Canis lupus familiaris: one gene and its partner. The protein of the gene in region 1 binds, or shares a complex with, the protein of each later gene. Links are inferred from orthologs where the notes say so. Each region holds a gene or a part of one and is shown on either strand. Other genes may lie near its edges.

Region 1 (8,090 bases):
AGTGGGAAGAAACGAGACAAGGACTAGGAGTGGTATAATGCACCCCTCTTACATCCACACATCCACCCCATCCACCCCTCCATCCACCCTTCCACCCAATAAACAAGAACGAGGAAGGACAACTCAGTCTTTTGGAAACTCCAAGCACTGATAGACTCTTTCCCTCACTGGTCCCTCACAATTGTATCAGAGATGGTGAGCTGATAGCCCCAGGTCCATTTTCTGGATGTGGACACCGAGGTTCCCTCCCCTGCCCGGACTCTGGCCACACCTTCTCAAAACGGGCTTGGATGAGGTTGGCCTTGTCGATGAGGCGCTGCTTGAAGTCACTGAGGCACTCTTCCTTGACACACATGGCTTGCCAGCGTGTCAGCTTGTTTCCCGGCGGGAGCTGGGCCAGGAATGGGGCCAGGTAGTCCAGCTGGGCTTCCACCTGCCGCAGGTGCTCCTCATGCATCACGCGCTCCTGTGGGCAGTGTTGGCGGGGCGGGGGGGGGGGGGGGGGAGGGTCAGCTGGGTCACCTAATCCAGGTGCCTGGCACCTCTGTGACTGAGACATCTGAGAGGAACTATGTGCTGTCCCTCATAGCCAACTCTGTCAAACATGAATTCAGGCAGCTAACGCTCAGCAGATGCTTGCTCAATAAATGGTAATAAATGGTGGTTAGAGTAATGTTAAGTTGAAAACTGCTGGTAACTCCCTTCCTTTCTTACCCAGGGCCTTATGGCCTATATCGGCAGATAGGGGGCCAGTGAGGCTGGGGATGTGGGGGTCAACATCCATTCCTGGGATCTGAAACCCATCCATCCCTGGGATCTGAAACCCATCCGTCCCTGGGATCTGATGCCCTGTTCTGCCTCACCAACCCCTAACTATTTTTAGAAGCCCTCACTTGGTTGATGTAGGGGATTCAAAAGCTGCCTTGAAACCCCAGCTGGGCCTTGTAGCCTGAGGGTGTAACCCAAATGTCCTGAGCTTTTGTGGCCAGAGGTGGCTCACTGGGGCTGCAGGCCCAGGTCCTGACCTTGGGGAGAGCCCTGAGTGGAGGTGGGTACATGATTTTCCTTCTTTCCCCATGCAGTAGAGGCCTCTACAGCTTGGCCATAGCCCCTGGAGGTGGGGGGAGACCTGGTCTGGATCCTGCATGCTCTTTGGAGTTCATCCTAGAAATGGGCAGCTCCGCAGCAAGGATGACCGCAATGATGTCAATAATGTCATCCCCTATAAAGAGCCTCCGGCAGCCTCCCTAATCATCCTCACCACCTTGGAGGCCTGGTTGTTGTTGGTGGTGGGGGTGTACAGGAAACGCCAGGGCCTGGGCCAGGGAACAAGGCTCACCATGGCCTCCCGATACTCTTTGCTCTTCTCGTTGCGCTTGGTGTCATAGATGGAGATGGCCAGTGTGTGCGCGTCGTCCTCCTCCTCTTGAAGCTTCAGGATCTCCAGCACCTGAATTGGGAAGTAGGGGAGGGCAAGGTTAAGACACTCTCCACTCCTGCCACCTCCTACCTGCCCACGCTCCGATGGGACCACCTCTAGCTCCGACTCCCAGGCCTGATGTCTGGACAACTTCTCCTCATTCCTCAGCTTCATCATGGCCTCGTACTGGTACAGAAGCTTCTTGGTGTGCTCCATGGGCTCCACCTGGGACGACAACAAGCACAGTGACAAGGAGAGGCAGCAGCGGCTAAGGTGGTGGGCAGACTCTGGAGCCAGACTGCTCGGGTTCAAATCTTCCCCCACCATTTTCTAGCTGTGTGACCATAAGCAACTGGCTTAACCTCTCTGAACCTCAGTCTCTTCATCTATAAAAACACAGATAATAAAAGAAGACGAGCTGGAGGCTCAGACTAAGGAATGTGCCAGGAGGGTGAGGATTTCAACGACGGAAGCCGGCTCTGTAGAGGTGGTGGGACCTTCTCCCACTCCAGTGTTGGCCCCAGGGTCTGGGGTCGGCTCTCTCCAGGACTGGGGGGAAGGGTCAGTAAGGACAAGTCTTGGCCTGTTGGGTTGTCTTTCTTGGTGGGAAAGGGGGAAGATTTTCAGAGGAGCGGCAGTGACAAGGGTCCCCAGATGGGAGCTCCTGAGTTTCCCAAGGGGCGGAGATAAAGTTCCCAGCTGGGAGCCATGAGTTAGGGTGCGGGCGACCCAGAGGGAACCACCGCGGCGCCCCAGGCCCACCTCAAAGCTGATACACATGTCGGGCGTCATGATGATCTTGTTGCCCTTGCTGTCCACCTCCGTGCGCCGCAGGAACTCGCGCTTGGAGGCCGTGATGTGGTCGTCCCGGCAGTGGTAGCGCAGCTGGATGCGCTCCTCCTGGATCAGAAATGTGCGCTCGGCCACGTCCTCGTCCGCAGGCTTCTCGGGGTTGCGGGAGAACCGCTCTGTGATTTTCTGGTGGGAAGGGGATTTCTGCGCGTGCCGCCGGGGGCAGAAGTACAGGACGCTCAGGGACCCCGGGCTCTGGGGTCTTGGGGGACCTTCCGTGGAGCAGCCCTTCCTGCCGCCGATGGCTCCCCAGGGCCCCGTGGGTCCTCAGCCGGGCCACCTCAGCCCTGATGCTGCGGCATTTCTTCTCTTCCCGCACAGGGTTCTATTTGCTCACCTCCAGAGATAGGGAGCTCACCACCTCGCCAGGCGCCCTGCTTTATCACTACACATCCCTTCCTGCTGGGAAGAGCTCCTTGGGTAGACAGCCATTAGCCACAGCTGCCAGGTCATTTGCAGGGATGTGGAGGGAAAAGGGCCGATTCAATGTGAGGTGAGCGATACAGGGGTCCTACCTTCGCTCACACACACATCTCAAATAGGTTAGAAAAGACTCCCAAGAACCAAGCCTATGGACACTGGCACAGTAGTATCTGAGAGCCACCGTTCTAGTGTGCACGTATGGCACAGTGGCAGGGGGCACAATCTCTCCCGCTTTATAACCAGGAGGTGCCCCCTCCTGAAGGTGTGGCTCCAGCGCTGCCGCAGAGAGCGGGCGCCCTGTGCCTGCCCCAACGACAGCTCACCACCACTGGCCGCGGGTTTGACTCTGCGCTGTTCAGAGCCAACTTCTTCACCCTGGGCCCAAAATCCACGTGGCGGTAGGAGAGGAAGTCAGACCGTCCTCGGTAGTGCTCCGTCATCGAGCTGGGCGTCTCCTCCCGCTTTACCAGGCCGTCCACACGGGCTGTCTCGTAGAACTCCATGACCCGGTCCATCTCGGGTTGCATAGACACGTACGAGTGCGCTGTGGTGGGAGGCGGGGGCCGGGAAGGCAGCGGGGTGAGACCAGGAGCGCTGGCCCCTGGCTTGAGAACCCGGGCCCGGGCCCCAGGGAGAAGGCATGTCCATGGATGCTCGCGGATGAGCAGGACTTATGGAACCAATGCCCCACTGCTGGGTGTTCAGGTTGTTTCTCACCTTTTTGTCATTAGAAACAACACCAGGGTGAACATTCTTTAGTTCTTGCCCAGTATTTGCTCAGGACAAATTCTCAGAGGTAGCACAGCTGGTCGAAAAGCGTATGTATTTTAAAGCTATTATTATTTTGCCCAACTACTTTCTCGAAAAGTTGAGCCAGTTTGCTGTCCTATGAGCAGTGACAGGGAGCAACTCTCTGCTGCTTTGCTTACACACCGGTAGGACCATTTTGTCATCTTCGCAACATGAGGTTTGTAAAACGGCTCCTTCCTTCCTTCCTTCCTTCCTTCCTTCCTTCCTTCCTTCCTTCCTTCCTTCCTTCCTTCCTTCCTTCCTTCCTTTTTCTTTCATTTCAGCCATCAAGTGAGTTTGATCATTTTTAAAGGATATATAATGACACTAGGCTTTTCTTCTCTGTGTCCTTGGTTAGGGCTGTTGATTCTTTCAAGACACATCCTTCCCTCACTTCCCTGCCTCTTGGGCTCATGACCACACCCCTGCCCTCCGCATCGCCCTTGTGGGGGCATTTGTTAGTTTTGTTGCTCTGTGTCCTGACCCCTTAGAAAGGTGGCCTTCAGCATGTGCCTAGCCCTAAGCACAGAATGGGCATGTGGCCCTGGTTTTGACTTTCCTGGAGGGACATTTGTCACATCTTCTGCACTTCCCCTGGCCTCGTGCACATCTGGTTTGCTTAGGGAGGCAGGGGTGGGGGCTTATGTTGCTTGTCATACCCTGGGCTCCCACTGGGACCGACAGCGGGTTCCACTCACCACGCAGAGCCTGGGGATGGCCTGGCTTGAAGTAGTCGATATTCAGACCTGTGCTCTTGTTGATGTGTTTTAGCTCTAGCATATCCTCCCGGTTCTGGTACCACTCCTTTATCTCCAAAGTCTTGGTACCTGCAGGGCACGATCAGTACTTGCCACAGCCAGGCTGGCTCCCCCAGCCTCTGTCCCACCCTTCCCGGCACACAGGTCAGCGGGGGCCCACACGCACAACAAGTGCCTGGCAGGGACGTGCCCAAGGTCACATAGCCCACTGGGGAACCCAGCTCTCCTGCCCTCGCGGCCGGGGCTGCCCGCCTTACACTCCAAGTCCTCGTAGGTGGTGAGGCGGCACACGAGGCCATTGTTGTTGAGATATGGGGCCCACTTCTCCAGCTTGGCCCTCTTGTACTGGATCACCTTCTTCCCACTGGGGCAGCGGGTCTCGAACGCTGCAGACACAGAGTGGGCTGGGGTCCCGCCTCCCCAGATTGGGGCACTAGAGGGCCAACCCCACTCAGCCACTCATCTGGTCACTGTGCTAAACTCCTCCAGGCCCCAAGCCCACTCCAGGGAGACAGAGGGAAGTAGTCACCAGGGTAGCTCCTGCCCTGGAGGAGTTCTCAGCTTTGAGCCTGACCACGGGAGCTGTGCCCTACCACACCACTCACTCGCTGCTGGGCCTCTGCCTGTGCAGGTCTCTCTGCGGGAATCACCATCCCCTCCTGCCCTTACTGGGCTGGCTTCTGATCCCTTAAAACCCTGCTCAGACTCCTCCTCCTCTTGGAAGCCCTTCCTGCCCACCTTCTCCCAGTCCCCAAGCGGGCAGCTGGGCTGGGAACTCCTCCCCTGGTTCCCATGATGCCCTCTCTAGCCCTTCCCACTGTTGGAATACCCTATGCCCTCCGTGTGGGTCTAGGCCTCCCAGACAGGAACCTCAACAGCCAGTAGATGTTGGCGTGGCTCACAAGTGGCCCTTCCCTGCTGCTTTCTCTGCCTACTCCTCCCTGGGGAGCTGCTCCTCCCTGGTCCTGATGCCTCTGCTCCCCTCTGCCATCTGGGTACTATGCTGTTTGGCCTCCTCCTGGCAGGGGGGTGGGGGAGGGCAACAACCACGTCCTGGTCCTCCGTCCTTTATTTTTTTATTATTTATTTTTAAAAATATTTTATTTATTTATTCATGAGAGACACAGACTGAGAGAGAGAGAGAGAGAGAGAGAGAGAGAGGCAGAGACACAGGCAGAGGGAGAAGCAGACTCCATGCAGGGAACCTGATGTGGGACTTGATCCCGGGACTCCAGGATCACACCCTGGACCGAAGGCAGGTGCCAAACCGCTGAGCCACCCAGGGATCCCTCTCCTCCGTCCTTTATTATCCACACTCCATCACCTAGCACAGGTTAACCTGGCACCCCTCCCTTCCTCCCCCGTACACCAGACTGGTGTCAGGCCCCCAGCCACAGAGCTGAGTGCATGTGGCGGGAAGTAGATAGAACAGAGACACTGTTCAGAGCAGGGTGCATCAGGGCACAGCAGAAGGCAGGAGAGGTGGAAATGAGGGGCTGGGGCAGCCTTCACTGGCTCCCCCACTAACTGGTCCTGGGGAGGCAAGGAACACAAATGTGCATGTACCTTCTGGGGAGATCTCAATCTGCTCCACCCATGAGGGTGGCATGTCGAAACTCTTATCCTCATCCTCCTTGCCCTGTTGGGAGAGGTGGGGAGGGGGCAGGCTCTGGTCAGGGCTGGGCCTTGGAGCGGAAGCTAGAGGCAGAGCCTCTGTCTTGCCCCCCCCAGGGCCAAGCCACAGTGGCTGCTAGCTCCCCCAGGGGTGCCAAAGGTCAGGGGCAGTTCTGACCTGGCATGACCCCAGGTAAAGAAGAAAAGGAGGCAGCTCAGGAGCCCCTTGACCCACCTGACCAGGATGGTCAACACCTGGTCGGTCGGCATGGGCACCAGGCACAGCCAGATCCTTCCTAAGAGAGGGGCATCTGGAGTCGGGTGGCCCTCCAGCCCACATCAGCTAGGGGTCCTGGGCAAGTAAGTCCCTCAACTGCTCTGAGCCTGCATCCTGTTACCTGGACTCCATGGGAGGATTACATGTAGAATGTATATGAACCACTTGAGACACTGCCTCGCTACTGTCTTACTCTGCCTTTTTGAGCCTTAGATTCCTCATCTGTAAAATAAGGCCTGGTTTACACAAATGGTCCTCAAGCTAGGTAACTACAGAAAGATTTTCCTCCATTTAAAACTGCCCCCAAACACTGGTCACACCTGGTCCCTCGTCATCTTATCTGTCCACGTCTGGAGGCCAGCAGGGGGCGCCTGTGCCCCGAGACATACTGCCAGGGAGGCTGATCTCCAGAGATGACGCCATGCCAAGCTCCTCCTAACACTGGTCTAATTTTACCCCCAAGCAGTCCAAAGGAGGTAGAACAGAGTCACTGTTCAGATCCCAGCCTTGGGAGCCAGACAGTCAGATCTCAGGTTCAAGCCCCAGCTCTGCCACTCACTGGCCATTGACATTTGGGTAAATCACTTTCCCCCACCTCCGTGTCAGTCTTCCCATCTGTAAAACGGGATGATGATAATCATAAATGATAATACTAACACCGGCCTCACCAGGTGGTTGTAAAGACTTGGACAAGTTAGTTAATTCAGGTTAAGCACCTGCTAATTCAAGCTAAGTGCCTGCTGGCACTTAGGGCCATGGCAGTGTTACTGAGTGTAATGGGCTGAATTGTGTCTCCCTAATCATGTCCTAACCCCCCAGGACCTCAGAAGGTGACTATATTTGGAGACAGAATCTTTCAAGAGGTAGTTAAGTTAAAGTGAGGACACTAGGGTGGGCCATAATCCAGTGTGACTGGTGTCCTTGCTTGAGGAGTAGATTAAGACACGTGTACAGAAGGACCACGTGAGGACACATGCCGAGGAGAGGGGCCTCAGAAGAAGCCAACATGCTGACACCTGGATCTTGGACCTCCAGCTTTCAGAACTGGGAGAAAATTAACTTCTTTGGTTTAAGCCCCTTGGTGGGTGGTACTTGTTATGGCAGCTCTAGCCACCTGCTACCCCTAGTACTATTACTGTGGCTGTAACTGATCCCATTCCCCCACCCTCATTTTACATACAGATGATGAGACTGAAACTCTCCATAATTGGGAAGTTTGCCCAGAGTGTCTCAGCCAAGAGTTAAGGACTTTAGGTGCCTGACCCCCCATAGGCCCTCACAGAGGACATGGGAGAAGGGAAGCTGATGCCATGGGGAAGGCCCCTGGCCAATGGAGGGCTGATATGACAGATAAGAAGGGCCTGGAAGCACGTGAGGGGGATCATAGTGGCTATGCAGGAAGGCCTGCAAATGAGGTCAGAGTCTTGTCACCCCTACTGCAGGGGACATGGCTCTTTATAGAAACAGGGCAACCGCTGACCAGGGTGGACTGTATGTGGGACAGGGGACCCAGATGCAGGTCCCAGCCCTTCCCTACCCCACTGGGGGGTCCTGGGTAGGTCAGCGAACCTGTCTGGGTCTTAGTTTGCCCATCTGTAAAATGAGAGCATGGTCCAGGCCCCTCTGCTTTGGAGAACCTATAATTGGTCTATCTGGCCCATCTCCCCCTACCCTAACCCCACTCAATTCACATGCACAAGGTGGGGACGTTGGTCAGGTTGGCCTGAGGCAAGACAGGGTATAAACCCCCCATCCCACCACCCAGCCCCACACTGCTAAGACCCACCAGGTTCTCCACATCGTCATTGTCATTCATCCCATCATCCTCTTCCTCAGTCAAGGACAGGTGAGATTTATCAGTCCCCAAGAGCAGGTACTCCCACCTCACAGGGTCTCCCAGGTCAAAGATCAAGTCCTGATAGGGGAAGGATGAGCTGAGCACATTCCACAGCCAGCG
Region 2 (6,963 bases), on another chromosome or scaffold:
TGAGGCGTGATATGTTGTTTGTATTCTGTAAACTCTGTCCTCAAAATGTCATCGCATGCATCAGCACAATGCAGAAACCAATCATTCCCTGAAAAGTGACCCCAAACAGGCTTCTAGATGAGGAGAGGACTGTGGTGGGAACCTCTCCTGCATTCCTATGCAGAGGAAAGAGTTCTGAGGGGAGAATAAATGAAACACACTTCAAGATGAGAAGAAAAGTATTCTCCAGATTTGGGAGTTGTGAACAAAGTTATCTGACCCTACATTACGGGAACTATAAGCCCCAGAAAAGGCAAGTATTCTTCTCTATACTCTGTAAAATCTCTCAAGCATCAGAGAAGTACCCAGCAGCCACCAAGGTGACAAATAAGCATAAATCAGCCCCATCTGAATCTCTCCACTCCCCAGGGAAAGGATTTTTAAAACCCAGATCGCAAAGCTATTTCTTCAGATCTGCTCCTGAGGACAGGCAATTGACCAAAAATGTTGAGGGGGACAGAGATTGAGAGAAATAACAAGAGAATCTGCAGGTTCCTTGATCCACAAAGGGAAAATCCCTGATGTTTTTTGCTGTTTTCATTCTAGCAAGTGTATGGTTCCCAGAGATCCAGGCAGCAGACAGATGAAAAAGCTCCAGAATAACTAACACAGGGCTGGAGGAGAGAGGGTTGGGGGTTGCCTAACAAGGACAAGTCACCCATCATACTCCCTTCCCCAGAACCATTTTTCCAACCACTCATGCCCCAGCAAGAGGCTAGGAAGTATCCCCTAGAGAGAGGCACTCCCAACATGGCCCAATAATTTTTTTTTATTTTTATTTATTTATGATAGTCACAGAAAGAGAGAGAGAGAGAGACGCAGAGGGAGAAGCAACCGGGAGCCCGATGTGGGATTCGATCCCGGATCTCCAGGATCACGCCCTGGGCCAAAGGCAGGCGCCAAACCGCTGCGCCACCCAGGGATCCCATGGCCCAATAATTTAAGTAGAAAAATTGAGGAGACTCCTGAGGTCAAGCAAGTCCACTAGAGGGAGCCCCGACCAACTCAATTCTACATGAAGCCTAGCAAAGGAGTTTCGCAGCACCTGACTGAAAACCAGCCACAGAAGGGAATAGAGGAAGAGAGGCAATAAATTAAGTCCCCGCAAGGGAAGATGGCCCTGTGAATTCCCAGTTAAAACCCAGCCCTTTTAGGATTTACCAAATCAAAGACTTAAAGACCAGGAAACTAAGGGGTACCTGGGTGGCTCAGTGGTTGAGTGTCTGCCTTTGGCTCAGGGCGTGATCCTGGGGTCCTGGAATCAAGTCCTGCATGGGGCTCCCCACAGGGAGCCTGCTTCTCCCTCTGCCTATGTCTCTGCCTCTCTCTGCGTGTCTCTCATGAATAAATAAATAAAATCTTTAAAATATATATAATAAAAACTAGGAAACTGAGGTTGAGCAAAATTAAACAACTGACCCAAGTTTACGTAACTGGAGGGAGGACTAGAACTCATGGCTCTTGTCTCCCACTACTACCCTTTCTTCTACATCTGCAGCCCTTTATGTCAGCACCCTGGAGTCTGTGGGTCCTCCTCTCCTCTGTGTCTCCTCTCTCCAAACTGAGAAACTCTCTCAGCTGCCTTCTCCTGCATTTCTTTCGCTCACACACTCTAGAATACCTCCCTGAGGCCTAATAATGGCACTTGCTCATGAGCCCTAGTGATGTAAATCGCCCAAGATGGCTACTGTCAGCTCTTTTCCTGTTTCAGCATTTTCCTGTGACAGCATCGTATCAGATATGGAAATCTGTAACTTCTCAGTCTCCAGACTTCAGGCAGTGCTACATGGAAATGAAGCATGGCTAACCAGCTCTGAAGCCCTTTCCCCTCCAACTACACTGAGGATTTACGGATAGGAGAGAGTGGACTCTCCAGAACCTTGCTGTCTTTTTTTTTTTTAATAATAAATTTATTTTTTATTGGTGTTCAATTTGCCAACATACAGAATAACACCCAGTGCTCATCCCGTCAAGTGCCCCCCTCAGTGCCCGTCACCCATTCACCCCCACCCCTAAGAACCTTGCTGTCTTAAGCTTTGTGCTTGGCACATACCACCCTTCTATGAGCTCCATGTTTTCCAGTTACCTGGACAACCTTCAGTCTCCAGAAACTCAACCCTGTGGTTCTCAGGCCCGCCCTCGAAGGATCTTTGTCACCCTGGATTGGTTCCCAGAACCCAGGCTCCTCCTTGGGCTCCGACGAGGTTGGGTTTTCTCTGTGCCCCTCCCTGTAAGCCGGTCACCCCGCAGGGAGACACAACAGAGGCCAGAGAGGGTCCTTCAGGTAGGAAGAAGCAGGGTAAGGATGATGGGAAGAGGAAAGGGACGAGTACTGGGAGATTGATTTTCTCCAAAAGAGGATTGAGAGGAATGGTTTCTGCCCACAGAACCTGAGGGGTAGAAAGAAATAGCTCCACCCTCCCCACACCCCAGCCTTGACTAAGGTTCCAAGGAGACCAAGAATGGAAGCTCCTGGAAAGTATAAGAGACAGACTCAGAGACTAGAACTCCAACTCTCTTGGGACGCCTAGGGTCAGGAAAGCAGCCCTATGTCTAGCCTTAAATATGAGTCCTCTCCCTCCCCAGGACAGCAAGGAGATGCCACCTAAGACCAAAGAAAAAAGGAAGAAAACTGGTGCACAGAAGAAGAAAGAGAATGCAGGTGCTGGTGAGTCATGCTCTAGCTTAGAGACCAAACAGAGGTGCTCCAGAGAGAATGCAGCCCTCTGAATGATAAGATGAAGCTTTCATATCCCTCCCCCTTCATCTCTCCCCCCCCCCCTCCAGCCAGGGTTCCATGGAGCTGGGAAATTGGGGGAATTAGCATGCATCCACTCTGTGGCCGCCCTTCTGGCTCTGTGCCTTCCTTAACATACTCATCACCCGTATTCTGAGTATACTCTGTGCTGGGCAGCCAGGACACAGGGGTGAACTCAGCAGACTCTGCAATCCGAGATCCCTCATTTAGAGGTCCTCAGAGCCACAGGAGGAAAGGTCAGGGTGTGGAATGAGGACGGGGAGATGAGAGGAAGGCTGAGATCATGATAAACTGAGGCTCTGCCAACTTGCTAGGGCAGATGTGGAGGTCAAATACGCACACAGGCTGGCAGTGATGGAAAAGGAGTTGCTCCAAGACCACTTGGGTAAGAAGGGTACAAACTCTGGGACAACAGAGATGGGGCAATGGGGGATTTTGCATGCTGGAGGTTTGTAGGGTTGGAGCCATGGTGGGAGGCTGAGCCGACCTCTCCCTCATTCCCTGATAGATAAAAGATTGACATTGTGAGGAAGGGGTGGGCAGCAAAGGTGGGTGAGCATACCTACCTATATTTTTATAAGCAGAACGTGAAGTTTTTCCTTCTTAGCAATGAAGAGCTCATGGGATTCTAGGGGGGGGAAAACCAACCAACCAACTCAGAGAGAGAATGAGAGGCTGGGAATCTCCCACCAGGTTCCCAGAGGTGGGCAGAGTCCATCAATCCCACGGGGCCTGATTCAGCCCACCCCACCCCACCCCCACCCCAGCCAGTTGTGAGCACTGCTCTGAGACTTTTCACAGCTCTGCGGAGGGATGAGGCTCGCAGAGCCAAAGCCTCTGAAGACCAGCTCAGGTGGAGGTTGCAAGTGCTGGAGGCTGAATTGGAGGAGGCCCGAAGTGAGGGGAAGGCCATCTATGCAGGTGTGTGGTCAGTCAGACAGGTGGGCAGAGACCTGGAAAAGGACAATCAAGGGGGCCAGAGGATGTAAAGAAGGGAACCGAGGAGGATTTCCACCTGCTACTGACTAGCGCCAACCTTCCTGGCTCAGTGTGAATCAGGCAGGGGCTTGAAGGAACCAAAGGAAGGCCTCTGGGACCCAGAGGCAGGAACCTTCCAGGATGCCCAATGCCATGTGCTTTATGGATTACAAAAAGCACTTCCTGTGATATGGATCACCAAAAAAAATTACATGACCTTTGTCTCATTCATGTAGTGAGAGTGAGTGGGGAAAAAGGCTAGAATCCAGGTCCTGAGCTGGGTGAGGGAGAGGGGTGTGATTTCTGAGCTTCTCTCCAGGTATTCAGGCTCTGAAAGCTTCTCAGAATCCTGGGAACGGAGAAGACCTTACTGCTCTTGTTCCCACCAGACAAAGCAGGCCCTTCCCCCCTTCCCCCCACAACTTCCCTTTCTTTCTCCACCACTCCATCCACACCCGGGGCCCTGGTCACCCTCTGCCCTCACCACAGAGATGTGTCGTCAGTGCCGAGCCCTGCAGAAGGAAATGGAGACCCACAGGAGGCAGCAGGAGGAAGAAGTGATGGGCCTTCGGAAGAAGCTGGGTAGGCTTCCCCACCCCCTAAGCCCTTTCTCTCCAAAGAGCACTGACAAGGTCCAGCCTGCAGGGATGGACTTACAATGGTCCTTCTCTAGAAGACTGCAATCGAGGCTCTTGGACCATTGTCCCCCCTGACTCTCTCACCGTGGAGGATTGCAGCAGAGGGCTCAAGATGGCCAAAATCTCAAAGGTGGAACTAAAGAAACCGGAGAGACTCACGCTGTCTCCCTCTCTCGATGGTCTCGCCAAACCTGGATCTTCCTCCCTTCCACTGCCATGTCTGTCATGAAAGAAACATATTCCTTCTTTTTTTAAAGATTTTATTTATTTATTCATGCATGAGAGACACAGAGAGAGGGGGGCAGTCACTATATGGGGAGCCTGATGTGGAACTCAATCCCGGGACTCCAGGATCACACCCTGGGCCAAAGGTAGATGCTCAACTGCTGAGCCACCCAGGCGTCTCAAAACATATTCCCTCTTAGCTGATGTTTACAATGCAAACTAAGAAAAGATATTTGACTTATTTATTTTCATATCCTCAATGCCTTGGGCATGCCAAGCCCTACATAATTACTTGCTAAATCAAAGAATAAACCTTTTAGAGAAGCAAAAATGTAAAGGACAGGAAGTTTTTCCTTTCTCTCTTGGTTACAGGATAAAGTTGAACTATCTTAGCACGACACATAAGATCTTTCACAATTGTGACCTCAGAGTTTCCTTAACCTAAAATAGCCTCAGTTTCTTTCTTTCTTTCTTTCTTTTTACTAGGCGCCACACCCAATATGGGGCTCAAACTCATGACCCTGAGACCAAGAGTCAGCCAGGGGCCCCTAAAATAGCCTCAGCTTAGCTACAGATACCCAAGAGTTGCTTATCTGCCATGCGGACCCTGAATTCCTTTCATAATCCTTGCCTTATTTCAAATTTAAATTCGATCAGCATTTATGGAGCACCTCCTGTACATACTAGGTATTTTTCCCCATACACTCTCACATTTAACTCACAATAAGTCTGTAAGGTTTGTATCAATCTCTCTTTAAAGATGAAGAAACTGAGTCTCAGAGAGAGATGTACCCAAAGTTACACAGGTAGTAAGTGACAACCAGACTTTGGACGCACATTTCTCATCCCAAGCCTACTGCTCTCTCTGCTGTACCTCAATGGTATATGTCAGATCTTTATACGAACTATGGGAAAATTGATGATCCTGGGGGGGGGAGTCTGGAATGATCCCATTCAAGTTCTGCTTTTGAGGTGTCTTTGGAGACTCTGTTCACAAGTAGAATGTCACTACCCAGTCCCCTTCCTCCTCCCGCCCTGCCCTGCAGAGACGTGCCAGAGGGAAGCTGAGGCTGCGCAGCAAGAGGCTGAACGGGCCCTCGGAGAGCGGGACCAGACTCTGGCTCAGCTTCGGGCCCATGTAGTGGACATGGAGGCCAAGTACGAGGAAATCTTACATGTAAGCACCACCACCTCTGGAAGCCCTACCACCCCAGTAGCTAGGACTCCCCCATTCCCCTGAACCCCAACTAGTTCATACTATCATTGTCATCAATGGGAGACCAGGGGGGAGGAGAAGCATCTCCACAGAGAACCCTGCTCTGCCCCGAGGGCAGACAGCCAAGGCACGCAACCACACTTACTTAGTAAGAGTAAGAACCTGAAGAAGATGCTAGGAGGAAAGCTCGCAGACCAGCCCAGGGAAACCCTTGCTCTACCCTCTCTCCCTTCCTGGAGCCTGAAGCTTGGTGTCCACAGGGCAACCTGGACCAACTCTTAGCCAAGCTGAGAGCAGTCAGGCCTCAGTGGGATGGGGCTGTGCTGAGACTTCACGCCAAGTACAAGGAGCAGCTCCACCAATTTGGACTCAACCCCCTGGATCTCTAAAGCTGTAAGCTTCGGGGCAGCCCGGGTGGCTCAGCGGTTTAGTGCCGCCTTCAGCCCAGGGCCTGATCCTGGAAACCCGGGATCAAGTCCCATGTCAGGCTCCCTGCATGGAGCCTGCTTCTCCCTCTGCCTGTGTCTCCGCCTCTCTCTGTCTCTCTCTCTCCCTGTGTCTCTCATGAATAAATAAATAAAACATTAAAAAAATAAAATAATAAAATAAAATAAAGCTGTAAGCTTCTAGTCTCTGGGCCTCTGAGAGGCTCCAGCAATAAAGCTGTCTTGATGTAGAACTCCACAGAACTGTGGTCTGTGCCTTTTTGACAGATACAAATATCTCTTTGAGGGCATGTTGGTTCTGGCGGACCCATTACTCTGAAGATTGAATGAGAGGATAGAAATTTGACATTTGACAAACTCTCAACTCCTCTCTTAGAGAAACTGGGCCCCATGCCTTGAATCTTGGGCCCTTTGGGTCCTTTCAAATCACCATCCCCTACTCCCACTACCCACACCCCTCCCCGGCACCAACACAGGTAGCCAGATTTGTGGGGGCAAGGCCATTTCTTTAATAGACCAGCAGTGACCAGGCACCAGCCCCCACAATCCTAAGGTGCTGACAGAGAGAAGGTGTAACTGGTCTCCAAACTCTTGCAATATATGGGGGGAGTCCAGGAGTCATGCCTAAGGCAAGTTCCAGATGGCTTCAATCCTAGCCAATCC

The links. The genes of interacting proteins can lie anywhere in the genome.
Region 2: DRC7 (region 1) and CCDC153 share a complex: the UniProt entries of both Homo sapiens proteins name them as parts of the nexin-dynein regulatory complex. The link is inferred for Canis lupus familiaris from reciprocal best matches to the Homo sapiens genes DRC7 and DRC12.

What each region holds. Positions count from the first base shown.
Region 1 is NC_049223.1:58,030,349-58,038,438, forward strand, and holds part of DRC7 (dynein regulatory complex subunit 7), read right to left. Parts: intron 8,049-8,090; coding exon 7,920-8,048; intron 5,882-7,919; coding exon 5,809-5,881; intron 4,629-5,808; coding exon 4,500-4,628; intron 4,312-4,499; coding exon 4,183-4,311; intron 3,240-4,182; coding exon 3,019-3,239; intron 2,399-3,018; coding exon 2,183-2,398; intron 1,646-2,182; coding exon 1,535-1,645; intron 1,451-1,534; coding exon 1,340-1,450; intron 467-1,339; coding exon 272-466; intron 1-271. UniProt on the Homo sapiens protein: Component of the nexin-dynein regulatory complex (N-DRC) a key regulator of ciliary/flagellar motility which maintains the alignment and integrity of the distal axoneme and regulates microtubule sliding in motile axonemes.
Region 2 is NC_049226.1:14,705,772-14,712,734, forward strand, and holds the end of CCDC153 (coiled-coil domain-containing protein 153), read left to right. Parts: 5' UTR 1-2,101; coding exon 2,102-2,323; intron 2,324-2,625; coding exon 2,626-2,707; intron 2,708-3,116; coding exon 3,117-3,182; intron 3,183-3,598; coding exon 3,599-3,718; intron 3,719-4,264; coding exon 4,265-4,357; intron 4,358-4,448; coding exon of another isoform or gene 4,449-4,642; exon of another isoform or gene 4,643-5,671; intron 5,672-5,684; coding exon 5,685-5,815; intron 5,816-6,114; coding exon 6,115-6,243; 3' UTR 6,244-6,538; downstream 6,539-6,963. UniProt on the Homo sapiens protein: Component of the nexin-dynein regulatory complex (N-DRC), a key regulator of ciliary/flagellar motility which maintains the alignment and integrity of the distal axoneme and regulates microtubule sliding in motile axonemes.